3 linked regions of the Neurospora crassa OR74A genome follow. The protein of the gene in region 2 purifies or fractionates together with the protein of the main gene of each other region. This does not show direct contact. Links are inferred from orthologs where the notes say so. Each region holds a gene or a part of one and is shown on either strand. Other genes may lie near its edges.

Region 1 (3,987 bases), on a different chromosome or scaffold from region 2:
CATCCAAATCCCGGCTTACATTTTGACAATGTGATATCGTGCATGGCTGTGTGTTTGGGCGTCGGGCATTCGAATTGTGCGATGATTATCGTCAGTTATATCTGGACTCGAGCTGTAAGTGGCCCGAAGGGGAAATCCGATGGCGAAATCAAGGTTCATTCGGGAGTTTCCGTTGCGGCACATCACCGAAACTTGGTATAATCCTGGTGTGTTTGTGGAAGTTGGGACATTGAATGCCATTGTCATTGGCGCCAGGAGTCCAGGACTTTCGGACTTCTCTCTAGTTTGGGTTTTCTTATCGATATGCACAGTATAATGTGACGACATGTCGGTCTTGTCGCACTGGCACTGTGAAGAGAACGTTGGATCGTGTGGACGGTTGGTTCGTCCCCCTCTCTCCCACGTTCAGGGGTAACAACACAATACAACACTCAATCTTTGTTTTCATCATCTGAGGACGAATGCCGGGCATTTGTGTAAGCTCGCCTCTAAGGACTCACTGAGTCGAACCGGCGAGACCTCCGTTGTCTTACCATTGGGGCATTCTGCAGGGTTCTGCCCACCACTTGGTAGCTGGTGCCACTGCATCGGATTGGTATCCTGCTCCCAACGTAAGTCAAAGATTCGAGACACCCCTGTCCTAAAGTGACATACGACAGTAGTGATAGGGCCTTTCAAGGTTCGGGAATTGAACGTGGTACACACAAAGATTATCGACTGCCGGGATCCGAAGCTGGTAGATGCTGGTTCAGGTTGTGCAACGCCATGTCTGATGAGAGCCTGTTTCACATGAAGGAATTGTCGCCAGGAGAAGAGTGGCATAAGAGTGGCCACTTCAGCCATTGTGTGAGGAGGTGCACGTGTATCCTAAACTCCTCGGGTATATCTAACCGCCAAAAATTTGAGATAATGTTACAGATATGTTACACGATATAGCATTTGTGCTTGTGCTGACTATTTGGGACCTTGAGTCTTGGCCTGCTGCGCCAACTGGGCCAGTCGTCTTTGGGCCATAGCTAAGGTGGCCTTGGGGATGCGAAGGCGCTGGCCAGCAACGAGAACTCCGGTCAACAAGGCAAGAGCGCCGGCCTGGTGGGCAGCAGCCAGGGGAATGGGAACCATGTAGATGAGGGTGCTGATACCGAGAGCAACCTGCAAAGAGACAAGGTGGAGAAGACCGGTGATTCCCTTGCGAGCAGCGGGGGGGAGGGCGGCCTTGACCCTGCCAGAGCGACTGTAGGCAACCAGGGCGCAGACAGCAGTGAAGGTGGTCATGGCCAGGATACGGTGGTCAAGCTGGACGAGCGAGGGGTTCTCGAGCATGTTGCGCCAGACCAAGTCAGAGCCATCCTCGTGGCGAGAGTAGAACTTGTCCAGAAGCTCGGACTTGGGGGGAGCGAGGCCGTTGCCCATCATCGGGAACTCATTGTAAATGAGACCAGCGTCGAGGCCAGCAACGAGAGCGCCGGAAAGAACAGTAGTGAAGATCAGAACAGTGAGGGCAGCGACGGAACCGCGAAGGACCCTAAGGGCAGGCGACTGGAGAGCAGTAAAGTTCTTGACAGCCTGCTCGGGGAAGTTGATGGCCTTGTGAGTGCGGAGAATGCTGAGACCGGCAAGGAGCATCCAGGAGTAGCAGACGAAGGCGGTAGCAAGATGGGCGGCGAGACGGTACTGGCTGACACGGGGGTGGGAGCCGGGAGCAAAGAGGTCATCCTTGAGACCGGACTTGACCATCCACCAACCAATGAAGCCCTGGAAGCCGATGAGAGCCGAGATGCCAACAAGAGTGCAAGCCATGCGAGGGGTGACGCGGCGGCGAGCAATGAAGTAGATGGTGGGGAGGACGAAGGACATGCCGATGAAGCGGCCCCAGAGACGATGGGTCCACTCCATGAAGTAGATCTGCTTGAACTCTTGGAGGTTCATGGTCGAGTTGAGCATCTTGAACTCGGGGGAGGCGCGGTACTTTTCAAACTCGGACTCCCACTCCTCCTGGGAGCCAGGCCAGAGGGAACCCGTGACGGGTCTCCATTCCGTGATACTCAGGCTGTGGAACGTTAGTAATTTGTGACAGGCTGAAAGAGACATCGAGGCATATCAAGTACTCGGGCCACGTACCCAGACTCGGTCAAGCGGGTCAGACCACCAAAGATGACGATACCAAAGACAGAAGCAGCGCTGGCAAGGAGCCAGTAGGCGACAGATTTCGAGCTGGTTTCCGGGAAGCTGGACTTCTTCTCGGACTTATCAGAGGACGGAGCGGGCTTAGCAATATCGGTAGCGAGCTTGCTGAGAGGGGATTCTTGGACTTTCTGGGTAGCATAGTTGCGGGACTGGGTGTGACGAGCCTGGCTCACCAACTTCAAGATGGTGGAAGCAGGAGTCGCAAGCTGGACAAGCTTTTGTTGCTGAGAGGCATTGAAAGCAGCTCTGGCGCAAAAGACGGATGGCCTGGACAGCTGGACAGCTGCCCGGCGTAACCCAAGCTGAAAGAAGGCCATGACGACCAAGTTGAGCCGACAATGGCAAACCACCCAAAAAAAAAAATGAGGTCGTCGTCGTCAAAAGTCAAAGTCGATCTCCCGAAGTCCCGGTGGAGTGAACTTTGTAATCAGGTACCGCGGCTGGTGGACGGGATGAACAGACTCCACTGCGCTGCCTGCCGGATGCGCGGGCCAATCGATCACGAAGCAAAAATCAGCCCACGTTTGCGATTGGATTGCACCACTTGGCCCAGGCTTCCTTTTCACGTATTTACATGGTAGCTTACCGTGAAAGGTAATTATCGCGTAACCTTGGCGGCAGCAATGGGCAGCATTCAACTGCAGTGTGCAACGACAACTCGCACTTTCCTCCTTCAACTTCAACATCTCACTGGCACGAAATCTCTGCACTTGCCGACTTCCTAGTTGAGTTTACATTTTCAAGTGTCAAGTGGTTGGGTATAGAGGTATCACTACGCCCATCCACATCGATATGAGTAGTTTTCTTCCTCAACAGGGCATTACCAACTCCATCTTGTGCGACCGCGACTGGCAGCATCGGCTTTTCCCTGTTTTCTCATCACCTCAATCAGAAAACCACGCTACAACTGGAAGCCATACACGAGTATCCAAAACTTTGAAATCTATTATCATTCACCGTACCCTATTCTCAACCTTGTTGTCCCTCAGTGTCACTGCCCGATTGACGCATTCGCCTCACCTTGTGTCATGGCGGGCTTCCTGAACAAGAGCATGTCCTTGAGACTCCTCTTGGGTGTCGGCTTCTCATATAATGGCTTGTGCTCCTCGTGGACGTTGTGCGCGTGCTCATAGTCGACATGTACAAATGCTCGCTCAACCAGCGCTAACCCTTCAAGCTTTCGTTGGAGCGTCTGACCGACATCATGAGAGATTCTCAGGGGTGTGTTTTCGTCCATCACAATGTCCAGCTCAACATAATAATGCTGACCAGCATGGTATGCCCGACACTGACCAACTTTTAGCCTCGAACGCCGTTACCGGGAAGCACTCGGGATCGACTCACCGTGTCGACCTTGACAATCCTGTCGTCATGTGTCATGGTCATATAGATGAGCTTCGCAATAAACTCCTTGGGCGCTGACTTGCCAACCAGAAGCCAGACTTGCTCAAAGGCATTTGAAGCCCACGAGAAGAGAATCAAAAGGGCTATCAGGATGGCGCCAATTGGATCAAGGTACCACACAAACTTGTCACCTACGATCGCCATCACCAACCCAAAGATGTTCACCACAATGTCGTTTCGATGGTCAACAAAGAAGACGTGCACTGTTGGGAACCTCCGGTAGAAGAGGCAGTAGATCATCAAGCTGCCCTTGGCAAAAACTGACATCATGTTAGGGTCCCGTCCCCATCGTTTTGAATGAGTGGTACTAACTGGCAACACCAACAAAGGTGAGCGGAATGATATGGAGACCCTCAGCCTCGTGTTCTCCTCCCGAACCCAAGTTACGCGCAGATT
Region 2 (5,525 bases):
GCGAAGCCCGCGAGACCCCGCGTAATTTCCTGCTGCAGTTAGGCAAAGTCTTGGCGCCCAAGAGTGAGAGGATCCCGAGTAGTAGTTCGAGTCCTGCTTCGGCGCTTTCTGGATCTGCTGCTGCTGCTGCTGCTGGGGGAAGACAAGAGCAAGAGGAGGGGGACACGTCGGAGGAGTTGACCTTTGACATATCCACGCGGAGTAGGTATGGAGATGAGGACGACGAGGAGGAGGAGTTGCCTAAGAGGCCGAGACTCAGCTTGGGCTTAGGGGTGGGGGATGGGGAGGGCGATGATTGGGAAGATGATGATGAACTGCCGCAACCACATCGGAGTGCAGGACTCGAAGATCTGACGGAGAACTTTACGGTGCAGAGTATCGAGTTGCCGAGACGGGTGGATCCGGAGAAGGATCAACAAAGGATGAGGGATTCGATGGGGCGGTTGAGTGATTTCCCGCAGCTACAGCAACAACAACAACAGAGTGATGGGATCGATTCGGGGTTCTTTCCGCCTGCTGCAATTGATGAGGACGACTTTGGAAATGCCGAGGATAGGATACCGGATGAGTTTAGCAGGCTGGACTCGGACGAGACGAGGAGACGGGAGACGATAGGTGGGGAAGGAGGGATGGGGCTGCTGCTGGGAGCTGGAGGGAGGGATAGTGATTTCCACATTGAGGTGCCGGTGGGGATGGACGAGAGCACGTTTATGATTGCTTCGCCTACGAGGCAGTTTGAGATGGGTCAAGCTGCTGAAGCGGCGGCAACAAGCGGCCAAGGTGGAGGTTTCGCGGAGTTGATGGACCAGAGGAGCGACAGTTACGACAACAATGACGATGACGGAAATGATGTTGGACCAGCATACGACGATTATGATAACGACGACGGTATGGCCATGGATCTGGATAACAACCAAGACGACCAGGGCCAGGCAGGCTCGGATGAGGAGATGACGAGATTATCAGGCTACACACCAACGGCGGCGAGGGTATCACTTTCAGCTTCGGCGGCGCGGGAGAAACTCGGATTGTTTCGGGAAGAGGGTGGTGAACGAGGGGGCTTCTCCAAGATCAAAGCCACCAAAAAGATCTCCAAACACGGCATCGAGTACACATCATTACCTCCGGCCATGATCAAGCGGCTGGCGCAAACATTCGCCAAGACGAGCGGCGCGAAGGGAAACATCTCGCCTGAGGCGCTCAAGGCAATCATGCAGGCTTCGGACTGGTTCTTTGAGCAGTTGGGAGATGACTTGTCGGCGTACGCAAAGCACGCCCATCGCAAAACTATCGATATGAGTGATATGCTTACATTGATGAAGAGGTATGTTTTGGCGCTTTTGCTTTGATCCCTGGGTATCCGATTGTTTATATCCTGTGTAGTGTTCTTTGTACACTTTTTTCGAGCTATTGTACACGACGGACTGACTTACATTTTTGTTTCCATAGACAACGTCAAACCAACGCACAAACCACGCCGTTTGCCTTGGCGCAACGATACCTTCCCAGAGAGCTCCTCCAGGAACTGAGGATGACGCCGCCTGTTCCGGTCAAGAAGCGCCGAAAGGCTGCCTCTTCTAGCCGTGCTGGGGTTGGCGGCGAAGACGAAGAGGTGACGTGAGAGTGTTTGTTACCATTGATGTGTGACAAAGCAAAGCTATCACTGCCCACTCACAAACTCATGTTTACCAGCTCTTGTTCATGCGAACGCGCTTGGTAATCTGGTTCGCAGGCTTCTTGACCACGAGCCAGAACATGATGGAGGTGGCAGCAGCGAGACCGTACCTAAGTACCAGTTAGTCGGGCACTGATATGCGATACCGCAGGGGTACGTCAAGAATTGGAAGGAGGTGAAGCATCGCTTAAGAACATACCAAGTAAAGATGTACTGCGCATGGTTGTTGCGAAGGTTGACCTCGGCGACTCTACCGATAGGGATACCACGCGCCTCGTAGTCATAGACGGTGATAATATCGGGAACTGCGCACAAACATACGTTAGTACCATACCTAGCTAGAATAGCCATCATACCATTATAGGACGCAGGCCAGGCCAGCCACGTCCAAAACTGGCAGAGAAGAAAACAGAGATACCCACCAATAGTCTGCTCAATCCACACCGGCTGACTGCCCGTCAACTCGGCCATCTGCTTCACATCCGGGAAATAAAACTCGCCAATATCCGGCCTGTTGTCCGGCGTGAACATATTCTTCTTCCACGGCTCTCTCAGCATGCCCTCCACACGGACCTTTTCGCCCTGCTTGACGGAATCCGGCCTGCTCCTCTGGTCCGCAAACTTCTTACTCACCCACCCTCTGTTGACCAACACCTTGGAGCTCGGATCATCTCCCCTCTCCAGGGGCGTAACAACCATGTACCCTTGTTCGCCGTCGCGCATGCGCGGGCCGATCAGCATCTCTTGGTCGTGTCGGTAGACGCCCTCGGCGTAGACGCGGCGGTAGTCGAAGTCGGCGATGGCGGCCGGGTCCACGCGGGGGGGAAGGGGGAGAGGGTCCCGGATGATGCGGTCCTCGCATTTGGCGATCAGGTCCGTCTTCCATTTTAGTCGGTAGACTTGCCAGGTTCCGAGAAAGAGGGCAGTGATGGGGATGATGGCTGTGGGGAGGAGGAGGAGGAGGAGGAGGTAAATGCGTTAGTCAGTGTTACGGCTGCATAGCGCATGCTGAGATTGTAGATGGTTGGGACTCAATCAGGACATACCCAGGATAATCAACCCCTTGCCATGTCTCCTGCCGGTCCGCACAAGCTCGGGAGGGTTATCGAGGATGGAAGTAAAGTTGGGATCATCGCCGGGTTGTTGAGTCTGTCGGCGTGTGGACGAGGTGGTGAATTGGCGGCGGGGACTAGAGGCAGGGTTTCTGCCGAGTCTAGCTGTCGTGAATCGCGTCGCAGCTGCTGCGTGGGCTGCTGCTGTTTGTCTTTGGAGGATTATCCTCTTTCCCAAGCTCTGTTGCGACGTGCGCAGGAGGCACTGGAATATGCTCCCGCTGGCCGCCATTGTCCGTTCGTTCGTTTCGTCGGTCGGTTGATCGATCGGCCGAAGAGGTAGATAGGTACTGTAGGTAGTTATGTGGTGGTGACTGAGAGAACGAATCGGAGGCTGCTGCTAACAACGACAACAACAACAACGAGCAACCATAAACAGCGGCATGTGACGAAAATGGAGCTGGGGAAAGATGCGGACAAACTTCGTCATTTGCCGGACACAGGAAAGTTCTCGGTGGAGCTGCTGTTTTGCTCCGATCAAAGTCCAATTCTGGGCGATGCCCCGCTGCCGCTGGTGGTGGTGGGTGTGGGTGTGGGGCGTTTCCATCCGAATGGCCGGGGCCGCTGGGTGCAGTTCCTGAGCGCCGCCCCACCAATGCTTGGCACCAGGGGTCGTGTAAGTGATGGATGGTTGCTAAGGGACCGTGGGGGTCATTTTGAAGACGGACGACAAACACCTTGATGGTCCATAGATGTGAGATTCACCAGGCTGTGTGTTACTTGGGACTGTCGGTGGTGTACAACTCTAGTCTTCAGATTCGTTTGCTGATTTGAATGTAAAGTGGAAGCCTTGCTTCTGGGGCTGTGCTGATGATTAGCCACCCCTCCTGATTTCGCAGTGAAGCACCTGAATGCAGCTTCAAAACAAGGTAAGGCAGGCCAGGTCCGGAAGATAAAAAAAAAAAGAAATAATAATAAATACTTCCAGGTGCTTCTTCACGGGCATAGAGCAGGCCCCGTTTTGGGGCTTCATACCTAAGAGGTAACCCGCTCGTGTGTATCAAAGCAAGACTTCTTACTGCTTTCTCAAACCACTTGAAAACTAAGGAAACCACTTCAGGCTCGAAAGAAAGTGCACTTTCCATCTTCTGCTTCCCGCTCGCTACCTAGGTAATCACAAACCTAACCCAACATCGATCCGCCCAACCTCTAGTAGCCTGCCCTCCTTCGTTTTACTTGACATCAACAACACTATCAAATACTCGGTACTATATACCACATCCATAAGTACAGAGCTGCTCGACTCAAGAAACGCCCAAGATGTCTTCTCCAGGGGCTGGCAGCCTCAGCACCCTGTCGAGCTACGCCTCCTCCGCACCCGATCATCAAGGGCAACACGCCATCGGCCTTCCACTTCCCGCTACGGCTCAACCTACCACAGCCAGAACTACTACTACACTGCCGCCAGTGTCTCCATCATCTACTGCCAACGCAACCAACTTCCTCACCAACAACTCCTCAACCCCCTCCAACAATATCAACAACAACAACAACAACAACAACAACACCCCCAACCTCCTCAATCCAACACGCACAGCCACAATCAACTTCAACCTTCTCCCCGAGCTCGAAACCGGGCTCGACATCGACAGGCTCAACTACCTCTGCCAAAAGCAACAGTTCATAACCACCACCTCTACCGACAAACAGCCAGAAGAGGAAGAAGAGCCAGAAGAACTTGGTTGGAAGGATGCATACGAAGTCATGATCAAAGTTCCCCTCCAGGGTCTTGCGGCGTGGGCGAGAAGGTGGAGAAGGGCTAGAACTGAGAGGGGGCAGGGGATGGTGTAAGGAAGGGGACAGACAGAAACTCGCATGGCTTCGTCGACTGGAGAAGAAGTTGGCGTGTAATTAGGTAACTACTTAACCAACAGACCAACGGATTTGGCATTGCGCGACGAACAGAATATGGGGTTTCAGTTTCATCATTGGGAAGAACGAGGAGTGGACAAGGCAGAGAATTGGATTACGGGCAACCGCATTAGCACTTTTTGTTGTTGTTTTTTTCCGCCGCCCTGGCAAGGGTAGAGAGACAGGCTCAGCGAAAGATGATGATCTTACCTTACTAGCAGCACAATAACATCATGACAATAGTATCACCCATCAACCCAAGCGAGCTAGCAGTGGTCAGACATATATGTCTGCTAACAGTTTCTGTGTAAAACAAGTTGAAATGGTATTTGCCCAAGGAGCGTACCTAGTCAGTTATTTGCTTAATGTGCGTGACAATCTGGTGTAGCTTGACCATCCATCTCAGCCTTCCGCTGCCACAAATCGTATGGTATCTCACGTATGGTATCATCCTTTCTCCCTTCCTGACTTCCTTCCTGATTTCCTTCCTGACTTCCTCTCATCCTGTTGTTTCGGAACGGCATGCCGAACACTCGAGTCGAGTCAATCTTCACTTCTTGACCTCCCCCTCCTCAGCAACCTTGGCATCCTCATAAGCCGGGGGCGCCTCAACCTCAGCCTCGGGCTCCTGCGCATTCAACAAACCAGCCTTCTCTTCAACAGGGGCCTCAGCTTCGTCTTTGCCGTGGCGCTGGGCACGCTTGCAACCAGCACCACCGCGGCGACGGCACTTTTGACCGTTGCAGCCACCACGACGGTAGAAAAAGCGGTAGAGAGCGACGATGAGGGTTCCGACGGCCATGCCGATGCTGTTTCATGATGTTAGCGATCGTTCGAACAGGGAAAGGGGGGAAAGCGGAAATGAAAACGTACAAGCTAACAGACAC
Region 3 (3,315 bases), on a different chromosome or scaffold from region 2:
CACCTACACCCGCAGGTAATTCAAAATCACTATAATATAGTTCTCCAAAAATTCTAGCTAAACTACCAAATAGGTACATCAAGGTTCAAAGATGAAGATCTAAAAATATTGAAGAAGCTTTAGGAGCTTCTACTCCTAAATTGGACGCTTCTACTCCTAAATTGGACTCTACTCAAATCATATTAAATAATCTTAAGCCAAAAAAAGGGAAATTTTTTACCAAATTTTGAGTAAAAAATACCAGAGTTCATATCTCCTGATCATAACAAATATATATACCTTTAACTATTAACATAGTAGGTAGAGCAAAAAAAATAAATATTTTAAACTTCTTAATCATATTCATTCAGATGGCTTTAGATATTTCAGTAATACGAGATTTAGAAGGTCAGTTCCAAATAGATGCTTGTAAATTTGAGGTCACAAAAAGGTGAGGTTTTGGTGGTGTTAAAGTTAGTTTATGAGTTAAAAATTGGATGAAAGTTAAAAGTTCAAGAAAATTAATTTTGCCTCCCACTGATTTCTTTTTGTTCCCCATATGATGATAATCTAAAAAATGATAAAAAAAATGATGAAGATTGTAATGGAAGACTCACGAATGAATGAGGTTTAGGTGGGCTACTTATAGATCATTCTAAACTAGGATAACTTCTATTTAAAAGAGCACGTAAACTATCAGTATAGAATTGTGGGATTGATCATGGATATCTACCTGCGTATTCTCCTTGAACTAGTTGTATATACACAATATATAAGAATAATCAAGAAGCTACTACACTTACGATTGACCCAAAACTACTTATTAAATTTCAACCTGAAAATGCGTCAGGGTAATCACTTATTCTTCTTGGCATACCTTGTAAACCTAAGAAATGTTGAGGGAAGAATGTTAAATTAACCCCTATGAATAAAAGTCAGAATTGAGCTTTAGATAACACCATATTATAATTTAAACCTAATATTTTAGGTACTCAGTGATATCATCCGCTAAACATTGCAAATACAGCACCCATACTTAATACATAGTGAAAATGAGCAACTACGTAATAAGTATCGTGGAATGCTATATCTAAAGATGCATTCGCTAAAACAACTCCACTTAATCCCCCAATTGTGAACATAAATACAAAACCTAAAGCAAATAACATAGAAGGAGTTAATCTAATAGAACCTCCATAACATGTAGCTAATCATGAGAATATTTTAATTCCTGTAGGAACTGCAATAATTAATGTAGCTGCTGTGAAATACGCTCTTGTATCCACGTCTAAACCAACTGTATACATATGATGACTTCAAACAATAAATCCTAATATTCCAATAGACATCATGGCGTAGACCATACCAATATAACCGAATACTGATTTATTAGAATAAGCTGATATTGTTGTACTTATTATACCAAAACCAGGTATAATTAAAATGTAAACCTCAGGATGCCCGAAGAATCAGAAAAGATGTTGGAATAAAATAGGATCACCACCACCAGCTGTTTCAAAGAATGATGTATTAAAATTTCTATCTGTTAATAGCATAGTAATTGCACCGGCCAACACGGGGAGAGATAGTAATAATAATACAGCTGTAATAACTACAGCTCATCCAAATAAAGCTAATTTGTGCAATCTAATTCCTGGTGTTCTCATATTTACTATTGTAGTTATGAAATTAATAGACCCTAATAAGGAACTAACTCCTGATAAATGTAGGGCAAAGATAGCCAAATCTACACTAGGTCCACTATGACTTTGTACACCTGATAAAGGAGGATAAATTGTTCATCCTGTACCTGCTCCACCTTCTATACATGCAGAGAATACTAATAATAGTAAACTTGGTGGTAACAGTCAGAAACTAATATTATTAAGTCTTGGGAATGCCATGTCAGGACCCCCTACTAATAATGGTAACAAGAAATTACCAAATCCACCTATTAATGCTGGCATAACCATAAAGAAAATCATTAAGATCGCATGTGCAGTTATTATAGCATTGTATAATTGATTATCTGCAATGTACTGCACCCCAGGTCCGCTTAACTCCATTCTTATTAAAACAGAAAATGCTGTTCCAAGTAACCCAGAAAATAGCGCAAAGATTAGATAAAGAACTCCTATATCTTTAGCATTCGTTGATAAAAATCATCTTTCAGTTCAAATCGAAATTGACGACATTAACCCGACACTTCTTTTACTTGAATTTAAAGAGAGCCCAAACTCCTCACTATTTAATTGATTAAATAATATAATGGTTTTTATTATAATGGTTACGTATCTTATAAATAAAAATAAAATAAGATTACAACATCTTATTGATTATACAATCAATGCTAACCAGGATATTCTGTAAACCGACCAACAGAATATCCCCGGTAACGTAATTCTGGATCACCTACGTAGGTGATTGACTGACTTACTAAAAAACACACTAGCCTTTCAATGTTTTGTGGACTTTCTTTTTTTTTTTTTTTTTAAAAAAAAAAAAAAAAAAAAAAAAGGCGGAATCACGGCTAAATCAGTATTAGAACCAACGAAGTGCCTTGCTATATTAAGTCAGCTATCCAATATTCCATTAGCCTCATGTAGTAAATTAACTTTTCTCGCTACCCTTATCCACATATCCCCCCGTCCCCCCGCCCTGCAGTACTGCAGGGGGGGGAAGGGGGATTGTGAAGAGTGGATGAGCGCCTTTGGAGGAGCGCACAAGTTATTATTATAATTCATTTTGCTCCCACTTCTAAACCCCCGCAAGCTTGCGGGGGGTTTGTTAGGAGAGCCTCCGCTACGCGAGAAAATGAAGACTTATCTTATTATTTAACCAAAATATTAAAAATATTTTGGGAGGCAATTATTTTTTAGCTTCCCCCCCTGCAGTACTGCAGGGCGGGGGGACGGCTAAAAAAATTAAGCGAAGCTCGCCTCCAAAATATGTAGGTAGTGTATATAAAAAAAAAAAGAAATATTTCTTTACCGGTTTATTTCTTCATAATACATATTTTGTTAAGGCGGGCGAAGCTTGCCTCAGAATCACTCCGCCTTTTCTACAACATCAGTTAAGATACTACTTAGTATCTTATATTCCTTTGTAGCCTACAAGAGAAGATTTAGTTTGTATATTTTAGGGGCTAGCGAAGCTCGCCTCCAAACTAAACTAAACCTAAATTTATTTTACATACAAATAATAAATCGAGCCGCGAGGCGTCTTTTTATCATATATTTTTAAAAACAAAAACAAATATATGTTTTAGTGCTTAAATATTATTATTATGTACTACCCCCATATTATTTAAGCCCTAAATACAGATAATTACTCCCC

Evidence for each region. Proteins that work in one complex are often made in the same cells at the same time.
Region 1: the proteins of NCU02162 (region 2) and NCU04817 purify together in Saccharomyces cerevisiae (affinity purification with western blotting; 3 studies listed by BioGRID, with this or other methods). This does not show direct contact. The link is inferred for Neurospora crassa OR74A from reciprocal best matches to the Saccharomyces cerevisiae genes SHY1 and COX15.
Region 3: the proteins of NCU02162 (region 2) and NCU16016 purify together in Saccharomyces cerevisiae (affinity purification with mass spectrometry; 3 studies listed by BioGRID, with this or other methods). This does not show direct contact. The link is inferred for Neurospora crassa OR74A from reciprocal best matches to the Saccharomyces cerevisiae genes SHY1 and COX1.

The regions. Positions count from the first base shown.
Region 1 is NC_026506.1:927,826-931,812, forward strand, and holds NCU04817 (electron transfer protein 1), read right to left. Parts: upstream 2,613-3,987; 5' UTR 2,505-2,612; coding exon 2,122-2,504; intron 2,051-2,121; coding exon 955-2,050; 3' UTR 655-954; intron 601-654; 3' UTR 501-600; downstream 1-500. Other genes in the region: NCU04818 (cation diffusion facilitator 1), read right to left, coding at 3,179-3,475, 3,532-3,851, 3,904-3,987. UniProt on the Saccharomyces cerevisiae protein: Catalyzes the second reaction in the biosynthesis of heme A, a prosthetic group of mitochondrial cytochrome c oxidase (CcO).
Region 2 is NC_026501.1:1,040,170-1,045,694, reverse strand, and holds the start of NCU02162 (SURF-family protein), read right to left. Parts: upstream 3,449-5,525; 5' UTR 3,020-3,448; coding exon 2,722-3,019; intron 2,617-2,721; coding exon 2,098-2,616; exon of another isoform or gene 1,981-2,097; coding exon 1,875-1,980; exon of another isoform or gene 1,786-1,874; coding exon 1,686-1,785; 3' UTR 1,622-1,685; coding exon of another isoform or gene 1,450-1,621; 3' UTR 1,325-1,449; coding exon of another isoform or gene 1-1,324. Other genes in the region: CEN-T, read left to right, coding at 1-1,324, 1,450-1,621; NCU02163 (hypothetical protein), read left to right, coding at 4,048-4,578; NCU02164 (hypothetical protein), read right to left, coding at 5,189-5,447, 5,512-5,525. UniProt on the Saccharomyces cerevisiae protein: Required for efficient assembly of cytochrome c oxidase in the mitochondrial inner membrane. Involved in a step that couples MSS51-COX14-dependent regulation of COX1 translation to early steps of cytochrome c oxidase assembly.
Region 3 is NC_026614.1:38,127-41,441, reverse strand, and holds NCU16016 (cytochrome c oxidase subunit 1), read right to left. Parts: upstream 2,175-3,315; coding exon 501-2,174; downstream 1-500. Other genes in the region: NCU16017 (hypothetical protein), read right to left, coding at 1-538. UniProt on the Saccharomyces cerevisiae protein: Component of the cytochrome c oxidase, the last enzyme in the mitochondrial electron transport chain which drives oxidative phosphorylation.